Rhinolophus ferrumequinum: one gene and its partners. The protein of the gene in region 3 binds, or shares a complex with, the protein of the main gene of each other region. Links are inferred from orthologs where the notes say so. Each region holds a gene or a part of one and is shown on either strand. Other genes may lie near its edges.

Region 1 (7,139 bases), on a different chromosome or scaffold from region 3:
CACACAGCTAGCGCGGGGGAAGAGTGGGCCTTGGACCAGGCGGTCTGAAAGCAGAGCCCTCGCTCTTAACTGCTTTCTCTGTTCCTGGTCCTGCCTCCCAGCCCAGGTGCCACCATGCCTCCGGGCTCCTCCTTCTCCCAGCCTTGCTCAGGCCGTCTCCAGAACGGCGGGGCCCAAAGCCTCCACCTCAGCACTCACGAGTCCCTGCCTGGGACAGTAATCTCAATCTCCGACAGCTTTTTCTCCAGGTCTCTGAGCATCTCCTGTGTCATGATGGTTCCCCCCTTCCGGACCTCTGATGGCCTCATCTTCTCGCCCCTCTCTGCCCGCTCGGCTGCCTCCTCTCTCTCGGCTGCCTCCTCCTCCTCCACTTTCTCCTTCAGGACCTCCATTTTGGTGTGTCTCTGACTGTCTAGAGACGGAGACTCTGCTGGAGGGATACACGCACTCAGAATGGCCAACTTCAGACCAGGAAGGAGCCACCAAGACCACCTGCGTCCCTGAGCCGTGATTTTTGGTGTTTTAGATCACAGAAGGAGGAAGTGAATCTCTCTTAAACTTCCTTTCCATTGAGGAGAAAGTCTCCACTTGAAGACTCTCTTTAAAACAAAGACAAGCAGGCCACAGATTGGAAACTATTGTCAGGGCAGGAGACGGTAGTCCAAACGTACTAATATTGCTTGGCTTTTTGCATATTTATTCTGACAGTACCTTCTCTGTATGGCAAGTGATGCTAATGCTGAAGGGATTACTTCAGTATCATAAAATTTCCTGTCTAAATATATTTATTAAGTCTAATAAGTGAATTGGTTTAAAGAAAATTATTCATCATAGTAAGATGATATGGAATGTAACAAAAAGAAGGTCGCGTCACGAAACTTGGAACTGAGGGACAGAGGGGGCAAACACAGGGCTGCCACTGAGGCAGCTGGACAAAGGGCAGGCACGTGGGGGATAACAGAGCCTGCGGTCTCCTGGCCAAGCCCCGTGTCAGCTTGTTTGGGAGCCAAACTGAAACGCCATATGTGTTCGTGCGCCCTAGGAAGTCCTTGCCTGTGGTTACAGAGCAAAGCCTCCCTGAGGCGGACCACTAGTTTCCTACCCAAAGATCCAGTCCCCCTTTCCGTACAACAGAACGCCAATGTTACCGGGGGCAGCCAGGTGCCTGGTTTGAAATGTTCCGCTTCCCCGCCTGCCTTGGAGCTGGGGTCGGCCCTGTGAGGTACACCCGTTCTGGCCGCTGAGATGTCAGTTGAAGTTGCTGGATGTCAAAGGGTAGGGCCCAGGCGGCCCAGACTCTGCCCTTCTCCTCTCCCTGCCTGGGACACAGATATAAAGCAGGAGGTGGGGCAGCCAATTAATGACTATGAGATGACCAACATGAGGACCAACGCTGACAGCTATATACGGCAGAGTGACGAGACGGGGGAGCCATGGTCCCAAGAGGTGCCGTGGAGGCCTTGAGTGCCACCGCCAGACTTCCCATCCTGTGAGGAGATTCAGCTACTGCTTGTTTAAGCACGTTCCTGTTAAACCATCCCAGCTGATCCCCCAGCCTCCTGCCTCCCAGCTCATGTCTCTCCATCACCCCACCTCAAATATCTATTTTTTTTTTTTAACAATAAATAAGGCAAAGGCCCAAAGAGGAGGAAAACTGACCTAATGCACAGGTTGTGGTGGGAGAGGAGAGTGAGGATCGAGGAGAAAAGAGCAGGCTCTCCCCAGATTTGTCATCACCCTCTGGGGTGGAGCCAGGACCAAGAAGCCGGGCCCTACCTCCCTGCTCCATCCCTACCTGGGCCGCCTTGGGGTGGGCGGCTAGTCACTGATCACCAGCCTGGCTAGGGGGAATCTTGGCTCTTCCAGCAGCTCCTGCTGGGGCCTTGGACCATTCTCTGCCCCTTTCTGGGCGTCAATTTCCCCTTCTGCAATATGAAAAGTGGGACGGATGTTTTCTGTCCACTGCTGACATGCTGGAGGACTCAGCAGGGGCTGACTGCACCTGTTGCTTTGCTGGAGGTCAGCTCACCCTAGTCCCAGGGAGTCAACATCACAACTGAGGCCTTGTGTCCAGCAGGTCTGTTCAGAACCCCAGTTCCCTGCAGCAAACCTGCTGCTGTGCCCACCAGGCAAGCAACACAGCCTGGTGATTAGAGCCATTTGTCTGCTTCTTGGGCACAGAGAGGATAAGCTCAGGGCGGACGATAATAACTATTACAAGGCACTTCCAGTTTACTGAACACCTACTGAGTCCCAGGCGCTGTGCTAACTAAGGGTTTTACAGAGATAATTTCATTTATCCTCCAATGACTCTGTGAGGCAGGCACTATTATGATACCCACTTTGTAGAGGGAAAAATTGAGGCCTAGAACAAGGGGAAACTGCCTATGTTCACAGAGAGTAAATAGCAGATCTGGGGTTTGAAACCCATGCACTTAAGGGCCTAATGAGATGGGGAAGTCTCAGAAGGATGGTGTGAGCGGTGGGAGGAGGGTGGTGAGTAAGGAAAGAAGTAGAATGGGGAGAGGGTCAAGGTATCAGTGGGAAGCAGGGGGTTACAACTGGGGCAGGCACTGAGATGGGCTCTGAGCCTAAGGTCACAGAACACGGTCATCAGAGGCAGAGACGGGCCAGAACTCGTAATACTTTGTTCCTCACAGAGTATTGGGCGACCTCATCAGTTACAGCGCAGTTTGGGGAGGGCAGTCCTGCCTCAAAGTTCCCCGGACCCTACCCAGAGACCCAGAGGCCCAGAGGACCTCCCCACCACCACAGGCCACTTTCCACACCCCCCTCCCAGAAGCAACCTCCCTTCCCCAACACACACACACACACACACACACACACACACACACACACACACAAAACTTCCCCAGAAAGATCAGGGCTGAAAGCCCTGGGCAGAGGAAGCCCCCTTACCAACCTTCCCCTCTCCCTGGCAGGCAAGGTCCAATCACCCCCAGTCCTCTGAGGACAGCCTGTACCATCTGTTAGCCTGTCTCCATGGTAACGGCTTTGGGAAGCTGTCTGGTCCTGGGAGAGGAGGCTTCTGGGAAATGTAGTCTTCTGTCACTACTCAGTTCTGGGCCCAGAAGACCCACTACTGCAGATCCCTTGAAAAGTGGCGGCTGGAGCCAGCTTGTGGCAGCTTGCAAGACCTGGTTATTAAAATTTCAAGAAGGTTTGTGAGCTAGTTGACAAAGGCATTATTAAAAATTGAATTATCAAAATGTGTAAGTAAATAGATTGTATCTAAAACAAAGGCAATAAATAGCCAAAATGCATCCCTTCCTAATTATTTTACTATATTGTACTATTATGTAAGCTCTTGAGGTTATTTAGGCCTATTGTATCTGTATAATAAAAATATTATATAATGGTGAGCTACTCTGCATCTTTTCCCAACTTTTGTTTAGTGATGTCGCATCGATAAAAATTGGCTTAAAATTGGCCGTGGGATTATTTACACCACAGAAATTGGCAAATGCTACAGGCCAGGGCTTTTTCTCTCATCGAGCCAGTTAAACATTTACCAGGATACTGCGGCCCTTGCACCATGCACAATCAACGTGGCCTTCATCAGGATAGATGGAAACCAGTGTGGGCCCTGTCCTGTGGTGAACAGAGCCAGGCTGCCTGAGTCCTGGTTTCTAGTCCAGGACTAGAGGCCTGGTTTCTGGGCCTCTGATTTAGTATGAAGCTCCCAGGACAGAGAAAACTTGCTCATTAGGTTAGAGGCCCATGAAAATGTTTCATTTGAATTTCTTCTAAATTCAGAAGAAAAAAAAATTAATAGACTAATAATGGACCTACAATGATGAGTCTACCCTGGGTTCTATTCATCTTTGTACCAATGGAGTCATAAAATATCATTTTGACTGTTTTGTTTTTGGAAGGAGGGGCCCACAAAAGTCATAATTCGGCCTGTGGAGGTTTGGAGATAAGGGTCTGGAGAAATACTGCAGATGTCCTGACAAGGTCATATAGTTGCTGTTACTGGTTGCAACGTAGGTCACCTCAATTCTCAATAATAAAGAGGATTCTTTTTCTTCTGGTTAGAATATTATGCAGTCATGAAAAACAACATGTGAAGGATAAATTGGACTGAGGGAAAGCTCCAGAGACCGCGTGAGGCCCCCCGTCCTGGTGAGCGTCCTGCGATTAGCTCTGTAGGGAATTTGCCAGGGGTGAAGGCAGGAAGAGAAGAGGAAAAGGGAAGCAGGTAATGTGGAGGCTGGTGGAATGGAACATAGGCTTCATTTTTCTCTTTTCCCCATGTAACAGCCCACTTCTTTTGTATATTTATTTATTCCCCTTTATCCCTACACCCACTCTCACTTTCTGTCCCCATAGACAATCATTGTAGAGTGCATTGCTTTGCATGCTTCTCTTTTTAATTTGTGTAAATGATACGGCATTCCTATTCCCCGTTTCTTTTATTTTCACTAAGAACCATGTTCTTAAGATCCATCCATGTTGCTAGGTGTCCACAGCAAGGATCCACATTAATTACCTCTCCATTCTCCCAGTGATGGACACCCCACTTCGCCCCACCTCCCTTCCATCACAGATAATGTCACAATGTCATCGGTCATGTACCTGTAAGAGTTTTCCTTTAGGATAAGTAACCAGGAGCAGGACTGCTGATTCAACAGCAGCACCCTGTTTTTCTCCAGGCAATGAAACCTACCCTCTCCCCACCTTCTGCAATGCGTGAGGGATCCTAGAACCCTTGCCCCTGCCAGCAGCTTCCAACGGTTGCCAGTTTCACATATCTCCATTAAACTTGCCTCTCTCTGATAACTAATGACTTTAAATGTGTCTTCATGTGCTAACGTGTTAGTTTTAGGTGTTTCCTTCCCTGAATTTGTCCAACCCGTTCCTCTCTAGTAGGGATATGTCCTTGTTTTGGTTTGCTGGACTTCCAGATGTTTGTCCCTGGTTTCCAGTGTTGCAGATACCTACCCTCATTCTGTCACATGTCTGTTAACATGGCCCGGGGTGTCCTTCATTAAACAGAAAAACCTTCATTTTGATGCAATTAAATTGGCCAGGTTTTGTCTGATGTTTTGTGCTTATGAAGTTTTGCTTGAGAAGTCCTTCCTTGCCCTTAGGTCACAAAATATTTTCCTACATTAATTTTATAGTTTTGGCATCTCATTTAGACATTTAACCTGCCAGGAACTCATCTCTGTTTGAGGGGTTAGGTAGGGATCCTGTTTTATTTTTTTCCATATAATGAGCCAATTTTTCAACACCATCATCAGACCACCCATCCTTTCTTGATGATGCCACTCTTGTCGCGTATAAAGTCCCCCAGGTGCACATGAGTCTGCCACTGAGACTTCTGTTCTGCTCCACTGGTCTTCATGTCTATCCCTGCACAGACCCCATGTTGGATTTACCACTATTGTCTTGTAATAACTTCTTGTCTGCAGGTCAAGTCTTCCTTCTATACCTTCTTTCATTAAGCTTGGCTTAGCTGTTTGAGGCCTATACGCCTCCATATACATTTTAGAATAATGTTTTGGAAAGTCTTTAAAAATCATTTGGACTCTTTATTGAAATTACATTGTATTCATAGATTAATTTGTAAAGGATTTTTGTCTTTTTTTAAATTTTTTTTTTTTTTAAAGATTTTATTGGGGAAGGGGACAGGACTTTATTGGGGGAACAGTGTGTACTTCCAGGACTTTTTTCCAAGTCAAGTTGTTGTCCTTTCAATCTTAGTTGTGGAGGGTGCCGTTCAGCTTCAAGTTGTTGTCTTTTCAATCTTAGTTGTGGAGGGCGCAGCTCAGCTCCAGGTCCAGTTGCCGTTGCTAGTTGCAGGGGGTGCAGCCCACCATCCCTTGAGGGAGTCAAACCGGCAACCTTCTGGTTGAAAGGATGCACTCCAACCAACTGAGCCATCCAAGAGCTCAGCTGCAGCTCAGCTCAAGGTGCCATGTTCAATCTTAGTTGCAGGGGGCGGAGCCCACCATCCCTTGTGGGACTGGAGGAATTGAACTGGCAGCCTTGTGGTTGAGAGCCCCCTGGCCCATGTGGGAATCGAACCGGCAGCCTTTGGAGTTAGGAGCATGGAGCTCTAACTGCCTGAGCCACCGGGCCCGCCCAAGGATTTTTGTCTTTTGATATTATCTACCTGGGAGCACAGAGCAAGTCTTCTTAATTTCCTGTATATTTGGTATATTGTATTGAAAAAAATACTAGGAATGAAGAAATTGGAGCAGAATGGAGAGAACCAGGGAGCCCCGGCAGTGGTGGTGGAGGGGACTCTTTCCACAGCACACAGAAGATTACTGCAGCCCAGGGCCTAATAAGGTGATGGCCAATCTCTGGCTCAGTCACATTCCTGCTGCAACCCGTGGCCGGCACTATCAACCACTATCTCATGTAATCCTTCATCAGCCCTGTGGGGCAACTACTGCCATTCCTGCTTTACAGGTCCAGCAGGTGAAGAATTGGTCCAAGGAAGTAGCAGAGGCAGGATCTGGACCAAGCAGGCTGACCCTAGAGTTTGTACTCTTGACCATGGAGCTACCCACCTCTTCGGTTGCTGTTGGGAGGGTTCAGTGACGGGGCAACCCTGCACACTTGCGCTGGGCCTTGGGGTGTCTTTTTCCCATGACCCTGCCTGGCCTTAGCATGTGTTCAGCCTGGCACTTGGAGCTGCTTTTGCAGTGAGCCTAGGCAATGAGGAACCCCAGCCTCTCTGCCCCTGCCTGGCCTTGGGGTGGAGAGCCAGCAGCAAAATAACACATCTGCATTGTTAACTGCACCCCTCGTCTACCTTCTCCATATGTACCAAGAAACCCAGTCCATTTGGGGCTTGTGGTTTTGTGGGTCCCACATCCCACTGAGCGTGTCTGGGAAAGCCCCAGCCCAGGGTTTGCGGGGTCGGAACGAGGTGATAATTCTTGAACCCAGGGAATGCTCTGGGAGACGATGCCAGCAACCCAGGGAGGCCCCAGCCTTGGCACCAGCCCACCTCGCAGAGTGTCCTTGTGTACGTTGCAGGGCCTCTCGGGGCCTCCATGCCTCATCCTCACACAGGGCTGGTCCACTTGGCAGAGCTGTAGAAGAATCTGGAAGGGAGCTTTAACCTTCAAACCCCTCCTAGTTTACATACAGGTTGCATA
Region 2 (7,982 bases), on a different chromosome or scaffold from region 3:
TCATGAGTTTAGTTAGCTTGAGTGACTCCCCAAAGTCTGATCAATTCTGATTAATTGGCTAGATGTAATTTCTAATCTTCAAAGCTGAGAATCAAATATAGGAGTGCAATGTCAATACAAAGATTATCCTCAGACAGCATGTGCCTTTATTTCATCATGCCCTTCAAAATGTAATTATAGTTAACTCAAAAAATTGTTAAGAATAAATGAGATATACCATACAACAGTGCTTCTCAAACTTTAATGTGTATATGAGTCACCAAATCTGTTAAAATGAAGACTGATTCATAGGTCAGGAGCAAGAACTGACATTTTTCTTTTCTAATAAGCTCCCTGTGATGCCCAGGCTACTGTCCACACACCAGGAGCTAGAACACCCCTGGGACAGTATCTGGCATACTGGCTTCTCAGCGCCATTAACTGTTCTTCCCATTGTGGATATCTTATCTCCCCTACAGATCTTACCTTTCTAGGGAGAAAAGATGAGGGCTTTGTCATCTTTATATCCTCCAAAGTTCTAACCTAATCAGAATGCCTTCCATATGATAGGCATTAAATATGCCAACTGAATGAATGACATACAGCTTTTAACAGTCATTACTTCTTCTATACTTATAGACAGATTGTTTCTCCCTCTGAATTATTTTAAATAATGTATTTCAAAAATATTTCTGAAAACTGAAAAATCAGAAAAGCTCTCAATCTATTTTTAAAGTAAAGAAAAAAATTGTATTTGCAACATAATCCAGTGCTTTGTTTCTCATGCTGACCTAATCAAATCTTTTGCTAAAACACAAATATCCACAAGTAACTTATCTCCTAATGATTGTTTACATTTTTGTAAGAATTAATTAAAATAACTAAGTCATTTGGTTTTCTGAGTTTTAAAAAAAACCGTACAAATAATAATTTTATTAGAATGTACCTTAATGCAGTATGATAACTTATAAGGACATCTTAGGAACGTTGACATCTATATAAAATAATTCTGTCCTTTCAGACTAAGGGTACCATGAAAAAATGAAATAGTATGACTCTTATCTATAGGCAGATCTTCGCAGTTTTTGTGCTTCCCCGCTGAATTTTCTGTGATCACCATGACAACTGACTATCTCAGAACTGGCTTCTTCACTTGTAAATATTAGTTGTTAACCTGAAACACTTTGTTCCATGCTGAGAAAAAAGGCATGTTGATAGGGTGTGCTTAGATCTCTCAAAAAAGGAAACAGAGGTGGAATGAATTACTTTCATTTCTAAGATGTGCACCTCTACAGTTATGGCTTGATGTTGGTTTTGCGATGAGTCTGCCAATTCCCAAACATAAACAGACATTTTCGAGTAAGAGGATGGTAACCCAGTATTGGATTATACTGTTCAGTGAAAACAAAGGTCTTGCAAATAAACGTGGATAATCGCTTCTCCGCACAAAAGAACACATCAATCCTTCCGATCTAGTGACCAGGAGCCTGGAAGCCCCGTCCTTCCACGTTGGCCGCGCCCGTGACCGGGTTGGCGGGCTGATGCGGCCGCGAGCCCGCGGCAAAGGCCGAGTCGGCGCACGGGAGCTAGTGCGCGTTCCCGCTCGATTGCTCTGTCGTCTTTATTAACATCGTGTTTTGTTTTGTGTTTTAAAACAAAACCCCAGACGGGTGGGCGCAGCCGGTAGAGCAGAGGCATTTCGGAGCCTAGAGGCGCGGAGGGGACAACTGTGACCTCGAGGCCGTCCTCCCATGTCCCCGGTGAGGAGGCAAAATGGTGGCCGCGGGAGCCAAACGCCTGGGGAGGGGGAGGGGTTGCGGCGCGGCCGGAGAGGACCCGGCGGCCAGGCCCGTCCTCACCCAGGACGGCCCGGGGACCACAGCTCCGGAAGCTGCCGGCGTGGCGCCTGCGGCCCGGAGAGCCGGGGCGACGGTTTGGAAGCGGGGTCCCCGCGACCGTGAACAAGGACGCCATTATCGCCCTACGCCGCCAGTGCCTCGGCCGCAACCCAGGCTGGAACCGTGGCTCGGTCCCCCGAGGGAGGGACGAAGAAGGGGGACGGGAGGAACTGGGCGGGCGGGGCGGGGAGGAGACCGAGGGGGGCGGGGCGGGGAGGAGACGGGGGCGGGGCGGGGCCGAGGCGTGGGCCGGGGAGGCGGCGGGAGCCGGGGAGAGCGGCCCCCTCCGCAGTCACCGCGCCCTGCGGTGGGAGTTCCAGATGGAGGGTCACCCGGCCCCACCCGGCGCTCCCCTGCGCGGCCCGGGTCGCCGCGGGCGGCGAGGGCAGCCTCTTACCTGAGTGTTCCCTTTCTTTATTGTCCGCCATCTTGTGCGGAACCCGTTGCCCGAGAGACGACGGTCGTTAACCGAGGGCGCGGCGTCCTTGCCCCTCCAGCCCCCGCGGCGAGTCGGGCCTGGAGGACCGCTGCTCGAACCCGGAGGGAAGGAGACCCTTAATCGGGGGAAGGGGCGACTCCGAGCACGCGCCCTTCCCCCACTTCCCGCCGCGACCCTCGCGCGCCTGCGAGACCCGAGCCCGGTCCCGCCGCCCCCCGCGCCGCTCCACCGGCTGGAGCACTTTCCCCGCAAAAGCGGAGCCTCAGCCCTGATTTCTCTGACGTAGAGGAGTTATTTAATAAAGTTCCGAAAGCCTCCTTTCCTTTATTTTTGATGCATTTGGGGACATCAGACACACAGCTATCGCCCACCCCTCCTGGGACGACGTGGCGTTACTCGATTTTTATTTTTGATTTTTTTACTGCAGATTTTAAAACGCACCTGGAGAGCTGGGTGAAGCGCCCGACTCCCGAGGGGGTGACAGAACCCCCCCGCAATCCCGCCTCCTCCCCCTTCCCACCCACCGCCCGCGTCGCGCTGGGAAGCGGCTGGCTGCGGCGCAGAGGCCGACCTGCCCCTGCTCTTGCCGTCCGCCTTTGCTCCGCTCCAGGCATGGCTCGCCGCCGGCTCCCAGGGACGGCGACTGCACCGCCTATGGGAACTGGAGCTAAACGCAAAACTCGGCCGGGTGCAAGAGGAAATCAGAGCCATTTGACTGTTATTACTTGAAGAAAGAAATAGCTGGAGAAAAACGTGTGCAAAATAGGTTGCGTCGTCAAGGCTGCAATTTCTGATACGGAATAGGTTCTCCTAGCGACAAAAAACGTGCCCGAGTTGTGCTTATTGCTACAATAGGTTAAGATGTTCTTAGTTGTGAAATTGGACTTGACCTCTAGTTAAAGTTACTATGGAAAAGTCCTACAGCCCGCTTTTCTGAAACTTGCAACTGGAACATGATGTTAAATTTTGGTCTCTAAAATTTTAACGAGAAGTTCACTATACAAGAATATTTTCTTTTTAAGATGATTTTTGAATAATATGCCTAATAATGAGGGTCAAACGAATATGTATTTTTAAAACTAATCTTGGATGATTTTTTTAAGTGCATATGTGTACTAATGTAAATGACTTGATGTTATGTAAAAACAGTAAGAGGCCTTCAAAATACAAGGTATTCTATGATTTTACTGTTTTTATGCTTTTTATTAATTCTGGTTCTATAATTTCTCAGTAAACCCTAAAGCAAACTACGATTTTTCTTTATTAAAGTAAGTACTTTTTCTATAGAAGATATTCATGTGGTGCTGTGATCAGCATTCTCTTTGAAACTGAATATAAACGATGGCATCATCACAAATGGCTCATATTCAAAGATAGATATTTATAAAAATGAATACAATTGTGTACAGTAAATTCTTCACACCCAAAAATATGGAAAGTAATCATTAGCATTTATATGTAAATGTCATAGTCATTATGGTCTACTTATTTGTTTAAAGAGGCCCACTGGCCATATAGATAATGAAGGGCTTTGAAATAAATGTAGAAAACCAACTTTGGTCTCAGGTTTATTACCTATACCTATTTCCTGTGCCTTTTCTCCTATGCTGTTTTGCATTTCTCTTTTTCTGGAATGCCTTTCTCTTCTCTCTCCCTACCCCAACATTCACCCTCCCACAGTCACATTTGTTCCCTCCTGGTTGTCACTGACCTCCTTGGAAGCTTTTCCTGTCAACCTCTTCCTCTATCCTGTACTCATAGAGCATCTCACATTGATTGTCGATGACTTTGTTTTGCTAAAATACAAAATTCAACCAAGTAAATTTGAAGGTCTAATTGACTGTAGTAAGCGATTCATGAATTGGGCAGCAACCCCGGTAGCAACAAGAAGGGAGCTCCAATGAATTGTACAAAATGGAAGGTTTTATAGGCAGAAAGAAGGTGGCACTAGGAAGTTAAGAGTAGGTTATTTCAGGCAAGGACATCATCCCTTAGAGGAAGGCAGGGTGTCTAATCATGCAGATTACCTAACTGGTGTTGGTCAGGAAATTCCAGACTGTTTTCAAGTTTCACACCTGGGAAAGACTGAAACTGCAGTTAAGTTAAGTTATTAAGTTTCAGTAACATGGCTTAGCAAAAGTGACTCCATTTTGGCCTGTTGATTCTTCTTTTAACAGTTTATTTGCTTGTTTCCTTCTACCAAACTAAGCTCTTGAGGATAGCAAACGCTTTATTTGTCCATATATCCCCAATGCCTAGAACAATTTTTCAACTTTTGTGTCTGAAATAATATGTATTTTAAAAATTAAACCAGGAGTTAGTCTTGTCAATGATTGAGAAGCAAAGTTTATTATTTAGATTATTCCAAACCACATTAATCTCTACTTCTCTGAATTCCCACAGCATATTTAATACAATACTGTTTCTCTAAGTTTGACTGAGTAAAAAAAAAAATTTAATAGATGTTAATTAACCCCTCCCCCCAATTAGGTTTGAAGACAAGAGCCTAATCACCTTTTATATACCCACAATCCCTAGCCTAAATTGGGGCACATATTAGAAGCTTAATATATACTTTTCAATTGATTAATTAGACGTAAAAGTATGTAATTATTCTGGAAAACTTTCCACGAAGTGAGAAAATAACCGAATAACACAATAAAGGCCCACAATACCAATGAGTAATTATGTGCATTATGCTGATATTTGACTCAACTTTCCACTTTTCTTTGGTTGTGGAAACTTGACCTCCAATTTTAACTTTTTTGAAATATAATTAGCTCACTTAGGACAATGGCAAACTACAACCATTTCTTTTCCTTAGAATATATTTCGTTTCCGAACTATAGATTGAGTAACTTTGTAATATTATATGCTGCTAAGGCATTCTTTCACTTAAGAATCTCAGTGATTTTGTCAGAAATACAGAATTGGAAAAATTATTTTTGTTCCCATTCATGGATATATAACCTTAGGACTAAATCAGAAAAGCAAGAGCATAGTTTTAGACTGTGACACTTACTTGATCAATTATTCAATGGGGACAGATGGCTATGAAAAAGTTCTGTCCTTTTGCATGTTTGAATGTACTGTGAGTTAAATCTTTTTCTATAGGTGTTAGTTCCGTGCCCATGAGGGACACGGGAACTTCTGTTTCTTCTGAATACAGTTGATTCAGTTACCTAAGATATGGGTGAAGTGGAATGGGTAATGGTGTGAATAATGCAAAATGATAGTCAAAAAAATCTTCATATTTACTTTCCTCATATGGCAATCATTGAAATCTCCTTGGACTAGGCAGGAATAAGCTGAAAAAACAAAAACTGGATTTTCCTCCGTCATTGCCAGAACTGACCTCCTGACCCTAGGCAGGTCAGGTCATATAATCTCTAAAACTTAGTTAACTCAGAAAGAGTCGCAGCAATGTCCAAACTACCTATCTTAATGTTTTCAAGACACTCAATAGATATAACCAGAAGTTTTGAAAAGAACCTGCAAGGAAATCTGCTCTCGTTAAATGAAAAAAACCCCACTTCCACGTAGGAAAGAGCCCTTAAAGGTCAAAGCCCAACTTCTTTCCTGAGATTCAGATTCCACTTGGAGAATTTGCTTTTCCAATGCTTCAGCTACACAGTGGGAGGTGGTCTGACTCCGGGCCTCTGCTGCCTACGTGACAAGATCTATTTTACATGATAGAGGTCACCATCTTCAGTGTGTGGCCCCTTCCTGGTTTCCATCTAGCCATTTTTAAACCTTACCAAGCAGGAGTGACCTTAAGCATATCTAGAATCCTTGAGCTCTAGACCCAGCAAAATAAGAGGGAGGGAATTGCTTCTCTGGTCTGATTCCCGTTTCCTAACTGAGGATACAGCCCTTCCCTGGATAATTCACATCAAGAATGCCCAGCCCCTCAAGGAAGACTCTCGACACCTACCCAGAGTGCAAGTAGCCTTACCCTATGATCTCAAAAGGAAAACCTTATCAGAATACAACAGAATAACAGTTGGGTTTCATTACAGTTATAAAAATAAAAATAACTCAAAAGAGTACTTTGTATACATTATCTCTTTTAATCCCTATAAGGCTGATACTAGTATCCCCGTTTAGTGCTATACTGCTTCTTTATAAATTCAAGATAACATTGTTCTATGCTATTTCGTAAACTGAATATCTTAAGAAGAATGTTAAGGACAAAAATTCTGGGCAGAATTAGTCAACTTCCGCCCCTACTATTATTTTTTTTTTTTACTGCTTCAGAACATCAACTAAAACAACTGGCAGAGACTCTTAGGGACTTGAAGGGAACCAGATGATGGCATGCCCTTTGTCCTTGTTTGACCAGACAGTTAAAGACCTGGCGTCTGGATGGCAGGAGAGGAGGTGAAACTCACTTGTCCACCGTGATCCAGTGGTCTGCTTACCTTCTCTTTCCTTCTCACTTTCCTGCACATGGAGATTTCAGGCCTCAATGGGGTTGAGGAGGTTGTGTTAAATTCTTGGCCCTGGACAAGAGCATTTTCAGTGCCACAGTTCCTTCAGGCTTTTCAGGGAGACCCAGAGCAGGAAGCTGGAACTGCAGCACTGGGGGCAGCTTGCAAGTAAATCTTACATGAATCCACAACTCTTGAAAACATTTGGAAAAATCACACTCTGGGCCCTATTTCTGTCAAAAACACATGTTTCTTTCTGATTCCTTTAAAAACACACATCGCCACAGCAAGCCACTGTTTAATTCATTATTACTTAAACATTTCCTGTCCTGAGAGCACTTTGCAGGGACACTCATTGCTAAGCAACTTTTGGTGAGTCTCTGCTCTTTATTCATTGACAATAAGACTTGAAAGGTAAAGGCTGGGAGCTGACCCAGAGAGTCAATAAATGTTTATGGCTGCTCACATCACCTCTTCCTGTTTACGTGGGAAAATAGAGAAAAAGTATAGAATTATGCTGATAATTGGCTTTGGGATGATTTTTCAGTTCCTGCTTCAAAAAGAAATTTTTGAAATTAAGTTTCATTTATGTTAATGTTTATGTTAGGAGATAATGCTGTGTAGAAGAATCAAGCAAATAGTCTTAGGAGATAAATGGGCCCAGAATTCAACCTCAGTCCTTTGCTCATTTATGCTATGACTTTGGATATGTTATTTCTTCTTTGTAACCTCAGTTTCCCCATCTGAGTTTACATGGAGGTTACATGGAGATAAGGAGATTGACCATTTGGGATATAGAGGCAACCTATAATTCTCGCTGCCTCGTTGCTTCTGGCCTGATGTAATTTCTTTGGCCTATGGCTATGTGACTCTCTTAGGGCTCTAGGACCAATAGCGATACTAGTCGGAGCAGTTACTATTTTCTAGAAACGATGCCAAGCATTTTACACGGACCACCTTACTTAATCATCAAAATAAGCCTATAAGAAGGATACTAATACGATGCCCATATTAAAGATGAAGAAACCAAGAGTTAACATTCCCAAAGTGCTTCTATCTCCTCTCCGAAGAGTTAACATTCCCAAAGTGCTTCTATGTGAGGAAATGTGGCTTTTCTCCTGCGGAGCCCCGAAGTCTCTCCTGAGATTCTGCCTCAGAATCTTATTCTGCATTTTTCATTTTCTTCTTGTATCAAGACCCAAGGCTTCGGCCTGCTCTCCTGTCTCTCAAAGGAGG
Region 3 (7,198 bases):
GAAAATCAGTTTAATACAGTTATCAAGATGTTACCCCTTCTTGGTAAACCAAAGTCCTTTCTGCTTAAAAGAGTTTTAAATTCTCCATGGAGAATTTTGCTCTATACTGAATGAATAGTGAATGGTGAGTTTCCAGTGTGATTTTGTTCACAATAAAGTGATCCTGAGAGGAGTGGTACAAATATGCCTCACACAACAAAAATCTCACATGCAAAAATTCAAACATATAAAACAATCTTTATGTAATAAACTGAGAAAAACATACTCCAAACTAGCCAAATTTTCTGGTGCCAGGACAGCCTTAGGAAGTAGCATGGTGTTAAGGTTTTGTTCTTTTGTTGTGTTATTTTAACATTTTTTCGGCTTGGGGCATAGGTCAATATACTTCACATAGGTAAGACAGGGCTATGCTTATGTAGTATCCAGTGCTTTTGTGCTGTTCTAGCTTCTCATTCTTCAACACTAGAAACCCAGGAATCATTCCTGCTTCTTCCTTCATCTTGCCATTACCAATCACAGCTCTTTCAAAACAATTTGTGTAATCCCTCTGGGTACCCCCCTTTTTCTGTTTTTACAAACTCTGTCTCTTTCTTTCCCCCTCAGAACACAGTTGGGGTTTCCAACAAAATCTGTGTCTCCTGGATTGCAATTCCTAAAAAAGACCCCCAAATAAAGCTTTTAATTGCCTTGCAGTTCTTGGTCAAAACTGAATCATGCTCCCTTTCAACTCAGGGTTTTTGCATATGCTATTCCTTTAACTGGAACTGTTCCTCTCCCTTCTTTACCTTGTAAAGTCCCACTGATCCATCAGGTAGCAGCTTAAATCAGTGGCATTTTGCTAGGTATCTGCTATGTGCCCTTCTAGATCCAATCTCCACCATTTTCTGTGCCGTGAGAGACTGATCCATATGGAGTGCATCAATGGGAGATTCCAAAAGAGATCCAAAGTGTAGGATTGTGAGGTTAGGTGGTGATACCCCTGCCAGATCACCACTGGTTGGCAATGTTTCTCTGTCAAAGGCCATGCATGGGTTCTGTCAGGCAATCCTCTCCATATTGCTCTCTCTTGGGAGTTCAGGTAACTTCTTTCCCATGTGCCTGGAAACGGCATCATCCCTTATAGTTTCACTTGTGCCTATACTTTTGTAAGCAGACTCCTTATTAAATTCTCCTCAACTCTGCCAACTGTTTCCTTCCAGGGCAACACTGATACAATGACCTACAATGACATGTATACATTTTTATATGTAGTGTGTGTGTGTGTATATACACACACACACGTATATATATACATATATATGTATATATGTAAATATACATGCAAATAACAAGTTTCATAAAACAATTTATAACATGTGATACGTTCTGATATTTTCAATTCTATCATGTTTTGCTTAGAAAGTTTTATAACCATGATCTAATGTACCATAACCTCCAGTTTGGAAAATGTCTTAAATGATACTTCTGCCAAGTGACACTATCCCTGACTCATTAGGCTGGATCAGGATCTCTCTGTTCAAGCATTCATTGCACTTGTATTTTCCTGCATAATTTGTAATGTTTATGTCAATTTCCCCCACTAGACTGTTAAGTTCCATGAAATCAGGAACCATGACAATGCTCGCTATTGTATCCTAAGTTTCAGGCACTATTCTCAGTAAGTATGTGTAGAATGGATGAATGAATGAACAAAGGAATAAAATTCAATGTGTTATTCCTCTCAGGAGTACTTATCTTTGGATTTCTATAACAGTACATTTAACAGTGAGATTGTGAGTACATTCTCTAATATTGGGATTTCTGGTATATTTCTGGGACACAGAAAATTGGATAGGGAGAGTGGGCTATAAAGGTACATAAATTCTATCTTGATGTATTTATAAGACGATCTAATTTTAAATGATTTATATACACCTATTTTATGAAACTTTGAAGTCATCCTTTTCTCTCTCTCATTCCTCATCTATCAGCAAATCCTGTCAGTGTTACATTCAAAATATATTCAGAATTCCAGTACTCATCACTTCTGTCTACATGCCATAATCTCTCATTAGGATCATCACAATAGCTTCCGAATCGATCTCCCAGATGGTGCCCTTATTTCCCTTCAGTCTCAACACAGTGACCCTGTTAAAATGGAAGTCAGATTGAGCAGCTCCTCTATACAGAAATCTCAAATGGCTTCCCATCCCATCCTTTACAGTCCTCCGAGCTTAATTTTTCTCCATAAAGAATATGTTTCTCACATCACCTTCTAATGTGCCATACATTTTACTTGCTTATTGTCTTTCTCCCCCCTACCAGGATGTAAGTTCTACGAGGGTCAAGTTCTGTTGTTTTGTTCAGTGTCCTCCGAATCAAGAACAAAACTTGGTATGTAGGAGTCACTCAATAAACTGTTGAATAAATGAATGAATCCATAGGGTAACCCAAATAAATGTGCAATAATTAGGAAATATAAATCTCTGACGTCCATTAACTTATCTTATGCTAGTATTCAAGTAATTACTGAAGACGTGAACGTGTGGGCATGGTGCTGGGCGCCCAGACCGTTAGCCTGACAGTTTACCTTATTCCCCTAAAAGGGAGTAAGGTCTTTTCAGGGCAGTCCTCCTTACCCTCGGGGTCAAATCAAAGGATGGAGGTAAGAATGTAACTCATTTCTGGAAAGAGATAAAGGAGCAGAAGGAGGGAAGGAGTAAGGTAAAGAGAAGGGCTCCTCCTGCCTTTGTGCTCCCGGCCTTTCTCTTCCAGGATAGGATCCGAGAGTCTCCGTTGGCCTACTCCTGTCTAGTAAGAGGGAAAGCTACCCCTACATTGGCGAATCAAATCTGAGGTACCTCAAGCGGCGCTATGTCCTCCCGTCCGGCTTCACTTTTTCCACCTACAACCGGAGCTCGCAGGAACCACGCTAAGATGTTTCTATGGCAACGGTCAGCTTTGAGGGACTTTTTGCTTCTCTTTTAGTTGGCTACTACTTTGCCTTCCTCTATTCTAAAAAATAATACATGTTGCAGCTTGCAAAAATGGAAGGACTTAAGGGAAGAATTTTAAGAGTGTTGTTAAATGTGGCTTGTTTCAGTCAGAAGACGATTTCTGAGGCTTTTTTTTTGGCGGTCGCGGAAGATGCCTAAACTGGAGGCGAGGTGAAAGTATTTTTCCCACAAGGCTACGCGGCGGGGCTTCGCCTTCCTTTTTCCGCCATTTTGGCGCCTGGGGAGGTGAGTGGTTTTCGTGCTGCTGAAATTTGGGGGTAAATAACTGGAGTGCGTTCAACCACATATGTCTCTGAGCCACTGTTGCGGCTCGGAGGCACTGCCAGCCACTGATTTCTATGGATTCCAGCAATAGGGAGGACAGGATGGAGGAGATATGGGACTGATGGTGCTGGTCCCCTGACGTCCGGAGAGCGGGTGCTCCCGTAATCAGAATTGCTTCTTCTGGGCCGTAACGGAGTGAAACAGATGCACTTCGTCTGCATTTACCTTTTTGAGGCAGTGGCTCTTTTAGGATGGATTTTTTCCAGTTGCTCCCATTCCAGTCTTGGCTTTTGCTTGCTTACAGTTTCTTCGGTTTTCTTTCCCATTTATTGCTAAAGAGTTGTTTTCTGCATGTTTCTCTGACTCCTTGATCTTCCTTCTGATCATGGCATGAATTTTCTTAGAACTTCCTTTGGAGTTTCTTTGGGTTATTTTAGTGTAGAGTCTTGACACTTATTTTCAAGTTTACTTAGCTATTAGGCATTCTTTGGGGTTGGGATGTCGTGCCAGACTGCGCTTCATGTATTTATGGCATAGTTACGTTTCCACACTCAGCGTGAAATGCCGATCAAAAAGGAATTTAACGTAACACGTTTAAGAGACGAGAGGGGACCAGGTGGGGAGTATGCGTTACGAGATTTTAAACTGATTTTTTTGTTTATTTTAAGGCCTGCTGGGAACAGGACTTCTAAAACGACAAATATGTCTGGAAGGTACTGCTTTTCATTGTTTTGTACTCGAAGTTTTTTGTTCAGCATGAATCTAAAGGCGAGTTTAAAACTAGTGGGAGAAATTAGGTAACTTTTGGGTGAGGGTCGTTACAAGTCATATTATACTGGACGTTTGAACTTAAAGGAGATATTAACAACAGCTTATGGTTAATATATACTTTGTGTGTTTTAGGTTGTGGTCCAAAGCCATTTTTGCTGGCTATAAGCGGGGTCTCCGGAACCAGAGAGAGCACACAGCTCTTCTTAAAATTGAAGGTGTTTATGCTCGAGATGAAACTGAATTCTATCTAGGCAAGAGATGTGCGTATGTGTACAAGGCAAAGAAGTAAGTTTATAGTATTATACTTTTTGCATTTTTATTTGATCTGTGTCATTTTCCTATTCAAAGAGGAATAAAAAGATGTTGGTAAAGTAATTGGTACTGTTGTGCCTTCTACTTTGGGATTTTAAGGAACTTCATGGGATGGGAGGTTACAGAAGGATGTTATTTTGTGGATGATGTTGGGTACAGCTGTTAAATGTTTCAAGAAAGGAGCCAACTCCTTGTATGATTTAAAAATTTTACAGAGTACTTTACATGTTCCTTAATTCATTTCGTTGATTCCTTGAAATTATGTTTTATATGTATACTTAAAGATGTTCCTAGAGCATTGGTTCTTAATCCTTGGTTCTTAAACCCATTCCAGACCAATTAAAATCTCTGGGGACATGCCTTCATCTTTGCCCCCTTTTCCTTCTACAGCCAGAGCTCTTTAAAATTATGTCAGGTCATCGCTGCATTGCTCAAATTCCAACTGATCCTCATCTCATTTAGTAAAAGCTAAAGTCGTTAAAGATCTTATGCATTCAAGGCTCCCAATTTCTACTCTTAATCCAGCTAGGATTTAACTCTTGATATCTATTTCCTGCCTTTCCACAAGCCAGGGACACAAACCACAGGTTTTAAACACAGGCTGTTCCCTTATCTTCCAGTCTTTGCTCAGTGTTACCTTCTCAGTGAGGCCTTTCTTTGCTATTTAAAATTTGCAAACACAAATATTCTCAAACTTCTTATCTCCCATTGTTTTTTATTATTATTATTATATATTGCAGTTATTACCATCTGACAATCTATACATTTTACTTAACATATAACTGAAGGCTATATTTACATAGTTATCCTCTGAAAGTTTTGTTTTGTAAATGGCTCTATTTTACAAAGTTTTTAAAAATTACATTTATAAACGTGGCATATAGTTGATACTCAAGTATTTGTTGAATGAATGATGGCCCAGGCTTATTTTCAAGTTTCTCATGTCACTAAGTGGTTAACTAGGCTCAAGAGCCACTGTCTAGATGTCATTTTGAATTTGTACCACACTGTAGTGGTTGCCTGAGTTCTCATTCCTCTTTTATTCCCTTTTAAAATCAGTAACACAGTTACTCCTGGTGGCAAACCGAACAAAACCAGAGTAATCTGGGGAAAGGTAACTCGTGCTCATGGAAACAGTGGTATGGTTCGTGCCAAATTCCGAAGCAACCTTCCTGCTAAAGCCATAGGACACAGAATCCGTGTAGTAAGTCCAATTATTAGCAATATGACACTCCGTTGAGTCAAACTAAGCTCAAGGCTTGGGCTTTGACTTCTAAGAACTATTGTGATTATAAAATGTCATTAATAGATTATGCTACAAAATTCGTGGCTACTGTGTAAAATGTAGAACATCAGATCTTGGCATTAGAAGGAAAATGAAGGCAAAATATGCAAGTGGATTGTGCCTAGATTTCAGATTTTGCTAAAGCTGCGGTGAGGGGAAAAGCATTTAAATGAACATTTTTCTGGCAAAGATATTTATTGGACACTGAAGTAATTGCTAGAAAATAAAAATTCAATTTTTCCTGGCATAATTTTTTTTTTAAATTATAAAGTTTATTGGGGTGACAGTAGTTAGTAAAGGTACATAGATTTCAGGTGTACAATTCTGTAATACATTATCTATATCTCACATTGTATGTTCACCACCTAGAGTCAGTTCTGTTTCCATCACCATGTATTAGACCCTGTTTACCCTCTTCTAGAGCCCCCCTCCCTTTTTTAAAGATTTTATTGGGGAAGGGGAATAGGACTTTATTGTGGAACAGTGTTTTTTTCCCAGGACCCATCAGCTCCAAGTCCGTTTGACGTTTTCAATCTAGTTGTGGGGGAGGGGGGCACAGCCCATCATCCCACGCGGAAGTCAAACTGGAAGTCAAACCGGCAGCCTTCTTGTTGAGAGCATGCGCTCTAACCAACTGCCATCCAGCTGCCCGGGAGATCAGTGGCAGCTTGTCTTCAATCTAGTTGTGGAGCGCGCAGCTCACTGGCCCATGTGGGAATCGAACCTGCAACCCTGTTGCTTGGAGCTCGGGCTCTAACCAACTGAGCTATCTGGCTGCCCCTTCCTGGCATAATTCTTAGTATTTTTCCCATGTTTTCATCATGACAGTCTCGTTAGAGTAGGTGTTATTGGCCTTATTTTGTAGAAGAAAACTGATGCTCATGTTTTTGGGTCCCAGGATTTGGGCCCAAGTCTTTGAATCCAGATCTCATGATTTTCCTAAAATAGCTCCTGTTTTCTTTAGTTAGGCTCCATTTTTAATAGATTTGGCCACAGTGTTGGGGTCCCAGGGTACTTTTGAACCCTGCTAAGCAGTTGAGTTGTCTCATCAGGAAGTTTTTTACACTGTCATTAGAAGTAGCAAAATTAAATGGACTTTCAATGCTCCCATATTGGTTCTTAATCAAAGCGTGTTCACCTAGAAACTGAAGGCTATAAAAACTTGGTTCCCTCCCCACCGGGATATAAGTCATCATTGGATGCATTTCAGAGATGAATAATGGGATTGATCCATATTGTGGTATTTAGTAACATTGGTAAATTTGTATGTAACATGCATCTAATGGCATTGTGTTCTTTTTTCCCCCCAGATGCTGTACCCCTCAAGGATTTAAACTTACTGAAAAGTAAATAAAGTGGATTTGTTCTCTTGTATTTTTGTTAAATGGCTTAAAAATCACTTTGTCCTAAATTCATTTGTTACGTCCTTAAATGATGGTGGTTGTCAGGCATTTTCAAAGTATTCAAGGAAGTCAAAGGGCTATATGTAATGATGATTACAGAGATTTAGACAATGGGATAGGATGTGAGTTTGTTAAAGGAGAGGGGGACAGTAGAAAGTACCTTGAAA

The links. The genes of interacting proteins can lie anywhere in the genome.
Region 1: IQCG (region 3) and DRC7 share a complex: the UniProt entries of both Homo sapiens proteins name them as parts of the nexin-dynein regulatory complex. The link is inferred for Rhinolophus ferrumequinum from reciprocal best matches to the Homo sapiens genes DRC9 and DRC7.
Region 2: IQCG (region 3) and EFCAB2 share a complex: the UniProt entries of both Homo sapiens proteins name them as parts of the nexin-dynein regulatory complex. The link is inferred for Rhinolophus ferrumequinum from reciprocal best matches to the Homo sapiens genes DRC9 and DRC8.

What each region holds. Positions count from the first base shown.
Region 1 is NC_046298.1:10,259,605-10,266,743, reverse strand, and holds the start of DRC7 (dynein regulatory complex subunit 7), read right to left. Parts: upstream 3,002-7,139; 5' UTR 2,924-3,001; intron 1,320-2,923; 5' UTR 1,149-1,319; intron 431-1,148; exon of another isoform or gene 428-430; 5' UTR 393-427; coding exon 199-392; exon of another isoform or gene 187-198; intron 1-186. UniProt on the Homo sapiens protein: Component of the nexin-dynein regulatory complex (N-DRC) a key regulator of ciliary/flagellar motility which maintains the alignment and integrity of the distal axoneme and regulates microtubule sliding in motile axonemes.
Region 2 is NC_046310.1:16,398,697-16,406,678, forward strand, and holds the start of EFCAB2 (dynein regulatory complex protein 8), read right to left. Parts: upstream 3,002-7,982; 5' UTR 2,888-3,001; exon of another isoform or gene 2,758-2,887; intron 2,405-2,757; 5' UTR 2,306-2,404; coding exon 2,275-2,305; intron 1-2,274. UniProt on the Homo sapiens protein: Component of the nexin-dynein regulatory complex (N-DRC), a key regulator of ciliary/flagellar motility which maintains the alignment and integrity of the distal axoneme and regulates microtubule sliding in motile axonemes.
Region 3 is NC_046285.1:50,083,641-50,090,838, reverse strand, and holds the start of IQCG (dynein regulatory complex protein 9), read right to left. Parts: upstream 3,002-7,198; 5' UTR 2,841-3,001; intron 1-2,840. Other genes in the region: RPL35A (60S ribosomal protein L35a), read left to right, coding at 3,963-3,973, 4,164-4,316, 5,403-5,547, 6,939-6,962. UniProt on the Homo sapiens protein: Component of the nexin-dynein regulatory complex (N-DRC), a key regulator of ciliary/flagellar motility which maintains the alignment and integrity of the distal axoneme and regulates microtubule sliding in motile axonemes.